3 linked regions of the Rattus norvegicus genome follow. The protein of the gene in region 2 purifies or fractionates together with the protein of the main gene of each other region. This does not show direct contact. Links are inferred from orthologs where the notes say so. Each region holds a gene or a part of one and is shown on either strand. Other genes may lie near its edges.

The links. Proteins that work in one complex are often made in the same cells at the same time.
Region 1: the proteins of Hnrnpr (region 2) and Hnrnph1 fractionate together in Homo sapiens (co-fractionation; 3 studies listed by BioGRID and IntAct, with this or other methods). This does not show direct contact. The link is inferred for Rattus norvegicus from reciprocal best matches to the Homo sapiens genes HNRNPR and HNRNPH1.
Region 3: the proteins of Hnrnpr (region 2) and Ilf2 purify together in Homo sapiens (affinity purification with mass spectrometry; 3 studies listed by BioGRID and IntAct, counting the BioPlex papers as one, with this or other methods). This does not show direct contact. The link is inferred for Rattus norvegicus from reciprocal best matches to the Homo sapiens genes HNRNPR and ILF2.

The regions. Positions count from the first base shown.
Region 1 is NC_086028.1:35,193,368-35,197,533, reverse strand, and holds the start of Hnrnph1 (heterogeneous nuclear ribonucleoprotein H), read right to left. Parts: upstream 2,902-4,166; 5' UTR 2,839-2,901; exon of another isoform or gene 2,756-2,838; intron 2,339-2,755; 5' UTR 2,299-2,338; coding exon 2,202-2,298; intron 997-2,201; coding exon 841-996; intron 645-840; coding exon 501-644; intron 1-500. UniProt on the Homo sapiens protein: This protein is a component of the heterogeneous nuclear ribonucleoprotein (hnRNP) complexes which provide the substrate for the processing events that pre-mRNAs undergo before becoming functional, translatable mRNAs in the cytoplasm.
Region 2 is NC_086023.1:153,843,511-153,847,142, forward strand, and holds part of Hnrnpr (heterogeneous nuclear ribonucleoprotein R), read left to right. Parts: intron 1-98; coding exon 99-275; intron 276-1,916; coding exon 1,917-2,052; intron 2,053-3,632. UniProt on the Homo sapiens protein: Component of ribonucleosomes, which are complexes of at least 20 other different heterogeneous nuclear ribonucleoproteins (hnRNP). hnRNP play an important role in processing of precursor mRNA in the nucleus.
Region 3 is NC_086020.1:178,255,667-178,259,827, reverse strand, and holds the start of Ilf2 (interleukin enhancer-binding factor 2), read right to left. Parts: upstream 2,902-4,161; 5' UTR 2,796-2,901; coding exon 2,791-2,795; intron 2,013-2,790; coding exon 1,953-2,012; intron 1,615-1,952; coding exon 1,572-1,614; intron 1-1,571. UniProt on the Homo sapiens protein: Chromatin-interacting protein that forms a stable heterodimer with interleukin enhancer-binding factor 3/ILF3 and plays a role in several biological processes including transcription, innate immunity or cell growth.

The DNA.
Region 1 (4,166 bases), on a different chromosome or scaffold from region 2:
CGACAATTGACTTTAACCTCTAATAAACTAGCTAAACCAAGTTCCTTTCATAACAATTTTCATTCAGAAAATTACACTATCTAAAATATGTCTGGTCCCATGACCAAAAATAAGTTCTTACAACAAACACCATAATAAACTAACACTCTACACTCAACACTAATCTAATGTTAAAAAGAGCTTACCTTTAACTTGCAGTACTTTGCTAAACAGCAATATGAGGAAGTAGTTAAGATGGCTGAGTAGAATCCTCAAAGGTCTACTCTGAACTACAATACTAAATATAGGCAAAGTTAACACTTTGGAAATACTTCTAATTTCCACCTTTTAAGATGGGCTTAAGTTATTTGAAGGTCTCCAGGAAGAAAATGTGAATTTTACAACATATATTCAGCAACCTACTTTCAGTACCTAGACTACTCAACTTTAAAGTCTAATACTAAATCATGTCGCCAGAAGCTGCCATACCTCACTGCTCAGCAACAAACAGGACTACATACCTGAGAAGAACTGAACAATTTCTTCCTTGCTACATCCAAAAGGGAGTCCTCTAAGCCGTACAAAGCCATCATTGGCCGTGTCAGGACTATTGGGACCAGTATGCTTCAACACCCAATCCATTTCAACGTTGTTTGACTTGAATACTGAAAGAGGTGCTTAGAATTAGTCAATTAAGTTAGAGAACAAAGTCCAGATTTCCTGGGTTTTAGATAACTAGGAAGAGCTGCCATAAACTCCCTTAGATGACCATTTCCATGCGGTCAAATACCTAAAATTCAGAAGGGGTAAGACCTCTATGTGTTTAAACATTTACTGTTACTAGGGCAATGTAAATCAAACCTTCAACATATCTGTGTCCCATAGTTTCTCTGTCTTTTTTCAAGGCCAATTTGACTTCATCTTCTGATTCAAGTTCAACAAAAGCCTCGCCACTCGGTCTGCCTTCTCTGGTGTAGATGAAACGAATACCTTGAGCCCCATTTTGAATTTTGCAGTCTGAAAAGAAAACAATGCTTAATACAGAATTTAAAACCACCTCTGGGTGATACAGATGAGATGCATATTCCTGTCATCATTAAAAAAAAAAAAAAAAAAACCCACTCCTAAAGACTAAACTGATCACTCACCATCAAATTACCTGGTATATAGGATATATTCCTAATCCATCAAGGTACCTTAATACTCAAAAACAGTTCAAATGAAGCTACTGCCTTGCCTCTAAGTATCCACTAACCATCTCTGCACAATGTCTCAGAATAACCTCATCTGGGCCTGGTGACCTCACAGCATTTTCTGGGTGGGGTACCATGTCAGCTCTCCTCTATCAGCAGCCACATAACTGCTCACTCAAATCCAAACTCCAGCTCAATACTCACCTGAAAGGGCATCAATGTAAACAACTAAAGGCTCCAAACTGCACAGCTCAAGTCAAACCCGATGGCAACTGCCCCCTGCCATTGCTTCCAGTATACTTGAGTCTTGTTTTACAGGTCGTTTTCTGTTACCACAGCTAAATTCAGACAGTAAGGTCAACACTACAGGTACCTTTTTACGAAACTTGTCAATGTTTTTGAAATACACCTCTCTTCTCTTACAACAGTGGGAATAAGATTCTGATAGAAATTATTCAGAAAGCCTACACATAGTGTAAAAATAAGTAAGATTCTACAGTGACAAAACTTTCTTGGGTTTCAGGGTTCTCAGTTGTAAAGGGATCCAGTTTTTTAATTAACTAGACCTAGAGCATGAATTCAAGGACCAAATCCTAATCAGGAAAAATGAACTTTTCCAAAGCAGAATGCCTCTTTTCAAGTGAATATATGTAAGGAAGTGCAGTAGCGCTTCAAAGGGGAAATTACTATCACTTGTCTGTACTGCTCCATTTGTTTTTCAAGACCAGGAAAGAAATCATATCTTTCCCTACTGAATTCTTTCAGAGACAATTCCAAAATGCACAGATTGGTGCTTAGAGACCGAAAAGATTCTGCAGGGCCACCAGCATCCCAATGGGAGAAGGGGAGGGGGGCGGGAGGAGGGGGCATTTCGCAATTACCATTGCGTAACAGCGGCTGGCAGAGCGCGAGCCCGGGAACCGCTGGTGCCTGCGACTCGCTAGGGGGCGCCCAGAGGTCCGCCCCGCCCCGCCCCGCCCCGCCCGGCCCAGCCGCGGGCCCCCACTGACAACTCCCGCCTCAACTCACCAGAAAAAAACCGCTGCACTTCATCCGCGGAGCAGGACCAGGGCAAGCCCCGGACCTTCACCACGAAGCCCTCTCCGCCTTCTGCTCCCAGCATCATCGTCTCTTCGCTGGTCCTGGCGTCGAAACAGACTGCAGGGCTGCGGGGTGGGAGGGGGGTGGGGTTGTTAGGAACACGTCTAAGAAACAGTCATTTAAATGGCCCTCCCACTTCAAGGCGCCCTGCGGGGTTCGACCGGGCGCCGCTACGGGAGCCCCGCCCGGTACGCTGCCTTGACCCCGGAGACTCAAGCATGCAACCCGGCCTCGGCTAGCGACCCGATCCCCAACACCACTCTGTGCGCTCAGTGCTGAGGAGGGTCTAGGCTAAGAAAACCCTGGCCTACAGCCATGGTGGAGACAAGGAAATGGCGGCCGCCGCTTCCGCTCCGCCTCCTCAGACATCTCACACAATAGAAGCGGCGCGGCCTGCAGGCCTAGGCGGCGCTGCCACGCCGGCGAGACACTCGCGGTTTCCAGGGGTAGCCTGTGCTTGCCACGGCCCCCCAGGTTTTAACCTAAGTTCAGCGACAAGCAATCGTCACCAAAATAGGCGTCCGTGGAGGGCTCTGGTAGCAAACGAAGACAGAACACCACTCACCTCCACACAAAGCCTCGGCGTGGCTGAGGAAAAATGATAGGAGAGCGCCTGCGCAGCCTAAATAAAGCCCTCCGAGCAAACTCTGCGCACGCGCACCCCGTGGCCGGCCCCGCCCCACTCGCGTCACACAAAGATTAAACGCATGCGTATTAAGAAAACCTGCGCTCTCTCCCGCTAGCCCATTATTACACGCATGCGTTTGGGCTCCGGCCCCTTCATAAACTGACCGAGGGGTTTTTTTCTTCCTGCGCCTGCGCCCTTTTGCAATTATTGCGCTTGGCGTCTCAGCGGTTTATCGTTTTACTTAAAGCGCATGCGTCTGCCTTCAAACCGTTCTCTAGACCTACCCGCCAGAGTGGGGGAGGGGAATGGCGATAATCAGCTCCCAGCAGGGACTGGGTAATAATCCAGAGTTCAGGTTTACAGGGGCGGTTGTTCTACCCTTAATCCGCAGCTTTTCTTCCGCGTTCCTGTCAGTTTTGAAAGACAGCAGGAGGAAAAGGAAGCCATGCCCTTTCTCCCTAGAACGCGTAGGAGCTGGAAGGCCGGTTTATGCCGAGCCTCCTCTCCGTACCGCCCCGCCCCTGCGCCCAAATCCCAGATCACCGTGGGGTGCCTAGGACCAGTCCCCTTACCTGCCCGCTTTAGGGGATCAGTCCCCGACCCACATGGGCTGTCAGTGCCCGAGCTAGTCCTGTATCCCACTTTGCCTAACGAACTCGCAGTCTGCGAACCCCTCGCCTTCCCAAGGCCGCGGGCCCTCGCACGAGAAGCGCTCTGTGTGCTGCGCCTCGCGAGTGAAGGCTGAGACTACCAGGTGCGCGGAGGACGCAACCCCAGAGCGCGGCGCCCGACCGATGTACCTCTCCCAGGTGGAGACACCTCCGGGTCATCTCGTGTGCACTTACAGAGATAAATGGGTAAAAAGTTAGAATTCCAGCAACACAGCAGAATACGGATGATGTTCGGAGTCTCTCCGGATTTGACTGACCCACCCCTGCCAGACCTGGTAGAAATTAACAATAGTGTTATTGTTTTGGTGGTGCCACAGTGGGTACCACAGTTGGTATGCCTCTGAATGCCATCACAAGAGGTCGCGGTCAAAATTACGTTTTTCTTTCAAGTACAATATTGAGGAGGCTAAATCCACTTTGGATAGTTTTTTTTAAGGGGGTGGTGGTCATCAAAGGAAAGGTGCAGAGACAGCATGCAGAACTTGGACCTTTTAAGTCTGCGCAAGGGTGTTAAGTAGACAGAAGCTTTCAGCAAGAGAGCAACAGGAGCTGTGTAACATGAACCTTCAGGTGTAAGGGAAACTCCGATGAAAC
Region 2 (3,632 bases):
ATCTTATGCTTTTTTATCCCCTAACAAGAGACAGGAAGTTTGACTGGGTCTAAAATGAAGTACTTATGTTGGCTTCTAACAAGGAAGTTTTATTTCAGGTCTTTGTAGGTAAAATTCCAAGAGACTTGTATGAGGATGAGTTGGTGCCCCTTTTTGAGAAGGCTGGTCCTATCTGGGATCTACGCCTCATGATGGATCCACTTTCTGGTCAGAACAGAGGCTATGCGTTTATCACCTTCTGTGGAAAGGAAGCCGCCCAGGAAGCAGTTAAACTGGTATGTGATAAATATCCATTGTCCAAGAACTGCCATTTGAGAGAATAAAAGCATTTGCAGTTAACATTGTTTCATTTTCTTTAGTCTCTACTTTTAATATCTTTATATTGACTGATTCTTGGTATGTAACCTTTTTTATTTTTTCTGATTATAATTCTAAGATAACAGATTAGTTAGCACAATTTTATTTAGTATCAAACAAATGTTTTTTCTTTTAATGTCATTTCTCTCTGTCAAACTTTAATTTGGTACTAAAGTATACTGGAGGCTGAAATGGTTCTGCAGAATGTAACTGGAAGACAGTAACTTCTCTAGGAGAAATAGCATGACTGTTTTATTTTTATCACAATCCAGCTATGCAGTTAATACATTGTGTTCTAAATCTCTGCTTCTCTGCTGTGTAATAGCTGGCTTCTGTGGCTTTCCTTTTCTCTAAGAGCTGTACGACCTTGCATTCCTTAGAGCAGCAGCAGTTTTGAGGATGCCTGGATTCTCTCTGACTCTCTCGGTGTGTTAAAGTGACAGTGTTATTGTTCTGGCAGATTTCTGCCAGCTATCTAAGGGCATATGCAATATGGTATGGCACTTCTTGCCTTCTTTTAAGCACAGCTATATCTGCCAAGTGTGCCTGTTTCATTAGTGAGTGTGAATAAGTCCTTTACTAGCTTGGTCCAGGTTTTAGTATTTCTGAGGGATTTTTTTTTCTTCAAACTTGTTTATTCAATATTAAGGAGATTTCAGGACTTTATATTCTAGTTTTTGATAGGGTATAGGTAACTAAAAAGATTTATTTATTTATATATATGAGTGCTCTATTTGCATGTTTGCCTGCATGACAGAAGAAGGCATCAAGATGCCCTTATAGATGGTTGTGAGCCACACGTGGTTGCTGGGAATTGAACTCAGGACCTCTGGAAGAGCAGCCAGTGCTCTTAACTGCTGAGCTATCTCACCAGTCCCATGAATAACTTTTAAAATCATATCTTTTAGTAAGCTAGTGGTAAGTAATGCTAAAATATAAAGTATTATTTAAGAATTCACATTTTTTATTGTCTTCATAAAGTTTTGGAAGTGTTCTGATACTTTGTGGCTTTATTTAGAATTGTGGTTTGTATACAGTGTGAAACTCCTTTAAGTTTCTTTGGCATTGATTAAAGTAAATTCTTCCTTATTTTGGCTATTGCTGATCTATATCTAATTTCATCCTCAAGGACTCTGAATAAACATTTTCAGGTATTTTGAAATTTTCTGGAAAGGAATGTTCAGGTAGATAAAATTGAAATAAGTCAGCAGTGATGGTGCATGTCTTTAATTTTAGCACTTGGGAGGTAGAGAAATGCAGGTGGATTTCTTGAGTCGAAGGACAGCCTGATCTACACAGTGAGTTCCAGGACATCCAGGGCTATACAGAGAAACCATGTCTCAAAAACAAAAAAATGGGGAGGGGGATATTCAGGGCTAAATTTTAGCCCTTTTTTATAACTGGAGACTGTAAGAAATTTAAAATCTACACTCATGTTTCAGCAAGCGTGAAGGAGCTTGGTGAGTGTTTGATCTTAAATTGTGGGGCTCTTTAGATTAATATTAGTTGTCCTCAGTCTGGGGTGGTTTGGGGGTCTCTGGTTTTTTTCTTCCTTGCAGTGTGACAGCTATGAGATTCGCCCTGGTAAACACCTGGGAGTGTGCATTTCTGTGGCAAACAACAGACTTTTTGTTGGATCCATTCCAAAGAATAAAACTAAAGAGAATATTCTGGAAGAGTTCAGTAAAGTCACAGGTAAAACAAAAATGCATTTAGAAGTTGGTTTGTGGGAATCTGTTGCATTATTTACAAATATAAATGCTCTCCCAGAAGGAGATATATAGTAAACAGAGAGTTCAAGTCTCCTGTATCTCGTTTGTTTCTTTCTGCTTTAATAGTAGTTGGACTAAATAAATGTCTAAATACTCTTGATTTCATAGAATTTTCTTTTTGCTTTGTCTTAATCAACCCTTGTTTTTTGCTCTTTAGCCCTCAAGTGAAAGTGTTTTCCTTCAAAAGCTTTTTAGGATTAGAGAGAAGGCAGTTCTCATTTCCAGTTAACCTGTCTACATAAAAATTTAAAAATTCTGATTGAATCTGTGCAGTTGATTGAGAAGTATATTTTATATCTCAGCTCCACATACTTAAATACATACCTGGAGTCATGCATAGGGATGCATAGGCTTAGCACTTGGAGGTTAGGAGTTTTAAAAAAAGCTCAACTCAAGAATAGTCTGGAATACATGAGATTCTATCTTAAAAAGCAAAGCAGAAGACTAAATGTATAATGTGAAAGAATTGAGTAAGACTATACCTTGATTATACAAATGATTCCATCGACTTTCCATTAACTTTCACTTTTTATGTGGGTGCTGGGGATTTGAACTTATATTCTCTTGCTTTCACAACAAGCACTCTTCCCACTGAGCCATTTCCCTACAGCCTTCAAAGGCCTGGAGTTTGCTATGTAGCCCAGGCTGGACTTGAATTTACAGAGATTTAACTGCCTTCACCTCCAGAATGCTGGAATTAAAGGAGTGTGCACCACATCTGGCCTGCATTTCAGTTTTTAATGTGAGATTGGACTAGTGAGATGGCTCAGCTGTTAGAGCTGTTCTTACTGCAGGCCTCAGGATCTGAGTCAACTCCCAGATCACTAAAATTGGCAGGAGAGAGCCCACTCGATAAGAGTTGTTCTTTGACTTCTGCAGATGCACGATGCCTTAGGAGCATCTGTTAACATGCACACTAGCCTGCTCGCTCGGTCTCGCTCTCTCCCTCTCTCCTCTCCTCTCTCTTCTCCTCCCTCTTCCTCCCCTCCCTCTCTCTCCCTCTGTCTCTGTGCGTGTCTCCTTGTTTCTCCCTCCTTCCTCTGACACACATGAATGAATGAGACAAAGAAAGGGAGGGAAAGAAATGGTGAGATTATGATCTGAAAACAGTTTTAAGACCATGATTTCCTCTTATGAAAACCAGTACATTCTTTCATGTTTTGTTACCCAGTCATACTGTTTATCCCCGTTACTTACAGCTACCGTTTACTTTACCTTAAAGGCTGCCCCATGCTGTCCTCCCTCTCCCATCCTAGGTTGACTGACTTATTGTTAGTGCTCTCATCCGTTCATTTTTGGGTTTTCTTTTTTAAAAGGTTTATTGTGTGTGTGTGTGTGTGTGTGTGTGTGTGTGTGTGTGTGTGTGTGTGTCTGTGTCTGTGTCTGTGTCTGTGTCTGTGTGTACACTGTCACTGTCCTCAGACACACCAGAAGAGGGCATCAAATCCCATTTCAGATGGTTGTGAGCCACCATGTGGTTGCTGGGGACTGAACTCAGGAGCC
Region 3 (4,161 bases), on a different chromosome or scaffold from region 2:
GCAAGCACTTTATACATACACAAAAAAATTAAAAAAAAAAAAAATCCAGATGGGGGGTTGGGGATTTAGCTCAGCGGTAGAGCACTTGCCTAGCAAGCGCAAGGCCCTGGGTTCAGTCCCCAGCTCCGAAAAAAAAAAAAAAAGAGCTGCCCCTGATAAAAAAAAAAAAAAAGCCAGATGGCAATGGTGGCACACACTCAGGAGGCAGAGGCAAGTGGGTTTCTGAGTTCCAGGATAGCCAGGGCTACAGAGAAAAGCCCTGTTTAAAAATCCAAACATAAATGAAGAAAGAAAGAAACTAATTATAATCTACCATGTAGTATAATATACACATTGAGCACTCTGGAGGCAGAGGCAGGCAGATCTCTGAGTTCCAGGCCAGCCAAGGTTTTATACACACACACACACATACACACACACACACACACACACACACGCAATGTCTCAAAGTAAATAAATAAGTCCTAAAAATATTTTTTTTTAAAAAAAAGGTATTTTCTAGGGTTGGGGATTTAGCTCAGTGGTAAAGCGCTTGCCCAGCAAGCACAAGGCCCTGGGTTCGGTCCCCAGCTCCGAAAAAAAAGAAAAAAAAAAAAAAGTATTTTCTAGACAAATATTACAATCAAACTGTAAAGAAAGTATCTTCCCTGCCTTGCTTACACTCTTTTCTAAGTTTTGTTCTTATTGAGACGGTTCATTTGTAGCCCAGGCTGGCCCTGAACACTAACAATGGTCCTATTGCTGGGGTTTCCATTGCTGGTATCACAAAAGGACTTCATTCTCTTTAAGACTGGCTGGGCTGGTGAACTGGCTTGTTTTTAATATGTATTTATGTATATGCGAGTGCCACAGTGTGTGTATATGCATCCTGTGTGCAAGAGCCTGTGGAAGTCAACAGAGACGTAAGAGCCTTGGAAATCAGAGTTACAGACAGATGTGCACTATGTACGATGTAAGAACCGGGAAAAACTTGTGTCCTCTGCTAGAGCCATGTTAGACCTGTAGTTATAGCTCTAAGTAGATTGCAATATATAATAAATACAATAATAAAATAAAACCAGTTAATGGGGTATACATGTAGCATGTTCACATCTCTAGCACTCAAACTAAGTAAATAAAAACTTACAGCAGGGGGGCTGGAGAGATGGCTCAGTGGTTAGGAGCACTACTGCTCTTCCAGAGGTGCTGAGCTCAATTCCCAGCAACTACATGGTGGCTCACAACTGTCTGTAATGGGATCTGATGCCCTCTTCTGGTGTGTCTGAAGACGGCTACAGTGTACTTATATATAATAAATAAATAAATCTTAAAAAAAAAAAAAACTTACAGCAGATGAATGCCTGTAATTCTAGCATTCAGGAGGCTGAGGCAGGAAGATGATGAATTTGCAGTCAGCTTGGTATACATAGAGTTCCAGGCCAGCCAATCATACAGAAGACCCACTCTCAAAGAACAGATCCATTCTTGAATCCTACTCCAAACAGTATCTAACGTCATTAACAAGGATTCTGGGCTTCTACACCTGTAAGTGAGCAGTAGCCAGTCAAGTTCTCCAAAGCCAAAATACTCACCAAATAGAAATCAAAGGGGATGTGGGGCACAAAAGGCCTGAACCTGAAACATGAAAACAATCCAAAATTATTCAGGCAGAAAGCAAGCAAGAGAATTCTGTCTTAAGAATTCAGGCATTTCTGGGGTTGGGGATTTAGCTCAGTGGTAGAGCGCTTGCCTAGGAAGCGCAAGGCCCTGGGTTCCGGTCCCCAGCTCCGAAAAAAAAAAGAATTCAGGCATTTCTAAGCTGCATCATTCTTAGCAAAAAGCCAAATTCACTTTGTAGGACATGAGGAAAAGAAATGCTTCGAGTGGTTTTCACAAAATCAAACAGAACAATCTACTCCAAACTCCTATCTACTGAAACAAACCAAGGCAAAGACGTGAACAGCCACACTCACCCTCCTCCAGGACCTCCTCTGGAACCAAAGCGCCCACCACGACCACGTCCTCTGTCACCCCTAAAAGTACATACATTTTACTCTCATGTTGCTGAAAAAGGTTTCCATCACACCATCAATGTTATTTCAATGTGACTTACCCTGACCCCCCTCCAACTACTGAAGTCGACAGATATATCATGCTCACTTCTCCCCGATTCCAAATGATGTCCAGTCCCACTCTCATGACATCCTAATTCTGGACTTTTTTTTCTTCTGTTTTTGAAACGGAATCTCATGTATCTCCTGCATTACCTCCCCCCACCCCAAGACTGCATCCTGAGCCACCACACCCCACTTCTAATTCAGGATTTTATCAAAACTCACATCAGGAAAATACGAGTTTCAGAACCTGACATACATACCCCTACTAAGTAACCCACGATCCTGAGGCACACGGGTCGTAATATTCAGGGTAAGGTGACTTCTCATTTATTAATACAGCATACCAGTTACGAGACATGTCCAATTGGTCAAACACTAGGCACCAGAAAAATGTGCAGCGCTCCAGCCTGCTCACTGCGCACGGAGGGTGATCTTCCTGGTCCGTTAAGACCTCTCCTCCATCCCCCGAGACCCAGGAATCAACACAACTGCCCTGCTGGGGCCCGGCCCCCCTCCAGGCCCGATTCCCCGAGTCGGCCAGCCTCCTCCTACTCCACTCTCTCCGGCCCGGCTTTCCGCCGGCCGCCCAGATACAGGCCCTTCTTCCCCCGACTCCATTTCAGCCTGCTCCCCAACTCCAACCCCCCATCCCTCGAGGCTACGGCAGGAACTTTCAAGCACCCTGTCTACTTACCTCATGGCTCGCTTAATCCTGAACAATGGAGACCACTCAACCGCTCTTCGCTTGGAAGAATCAAGGTAACAGAGAAACGTCGGGTCGGCGTGTCCCAACAAACGCCTGCGCGATAGGCTCCCGCCTCACTCCGTCCCGTGCGTTTATTGGTTAACCCAGCAACCAATGGAAATGCTCTGTAAAGGAGTCAACCAATAAGAAGACATACCAGGGACAGAGGCAATTTCCCCCACTTACAGTAGAGGGCGTTCAGAATTTGAGGCTGTAAGCAGGTAAAGTCTTCTATGGTAATACAAGCATAGCCTACCAGTAGGTAGCAGAGTGGCGCAGCGGAAGCGTGCTGGGCCCATAACCCAGAGGTCGATGGATCGAAACCATCCTCTGCTATCGGAGACTTTGTTTTTCTTTTTACGGGTGAAAATACAATTAAATTTTTCCATAGCAAGAGATGTGGGGTTTTTTTTCCTTCTCCAACTTTTTTTTCCAGACAGCGTCTTGCTTTGTCACCCTAGTTTACATAATACTCGTTAATGTAGCCTGAGCTGTCATCAAACTCTTAGCAATCTCTGCCGTGTGCCGCCTCACTTGAAAACATAACTTTTACCTTACGGAAATATCAGAAATAGTTCCATTTCCCACCATTTTTTCCCTCAATATCATTACTGTTATATGATTCTTTTTTATTGAAAATTGTCATACAATTTTTCTTGATCATGTATTTCTCTTCCCCAGTTCCACCCAGATCCTCCCTCCCCACTTCCCTATGCTAGGTGATTCTGACAAGTATTGATGTATTATTTACTTTTGTAGGCATCTATTCCTTCTAAGTAACCTCATTAAAATAAGGAATACTTTATCAGGTCGGCAAGGTGAGTCGGCAGGTACAATCGCAACTACCTGAGTTCGACCTCTGGAGACTCAGTGATGGAAGGTGAGCCGCGATCTGCATTTTGTCCTCCGACCTCACTATGAATGCCGTGGGTGTGGTGACACCCACAAACACAACATAAATAAATGTAACGGAAAAAAATTTAAAGGATATTTTGGTAAACATGGTGGAGCATGTCTTTAATTCCCGCACCTGGGAGGCAGCGGCAGGAGAATCTCTGTGAGTTCAAGGTCAGACTATTCTAGGTAACCAGTCCATGCCAAGTAAGTCTACATAGGGAGATCCTGCCTCACAAAAACAGTATTTTATCATCTCAGAAAGATAACCATACTGGATTTCTACTATCGTGGGTTAGGTTTGCCTTTAGATTTTCTTTTTATTGGGGCTCGATCAGAGATGACTCAGCAGTTCTTTTTTTCGGAGCTGGGGACCGAACCCAGGGCTTTGCGCTTCGCTTCCTAGGCAAGCGCTCTACCACTGAG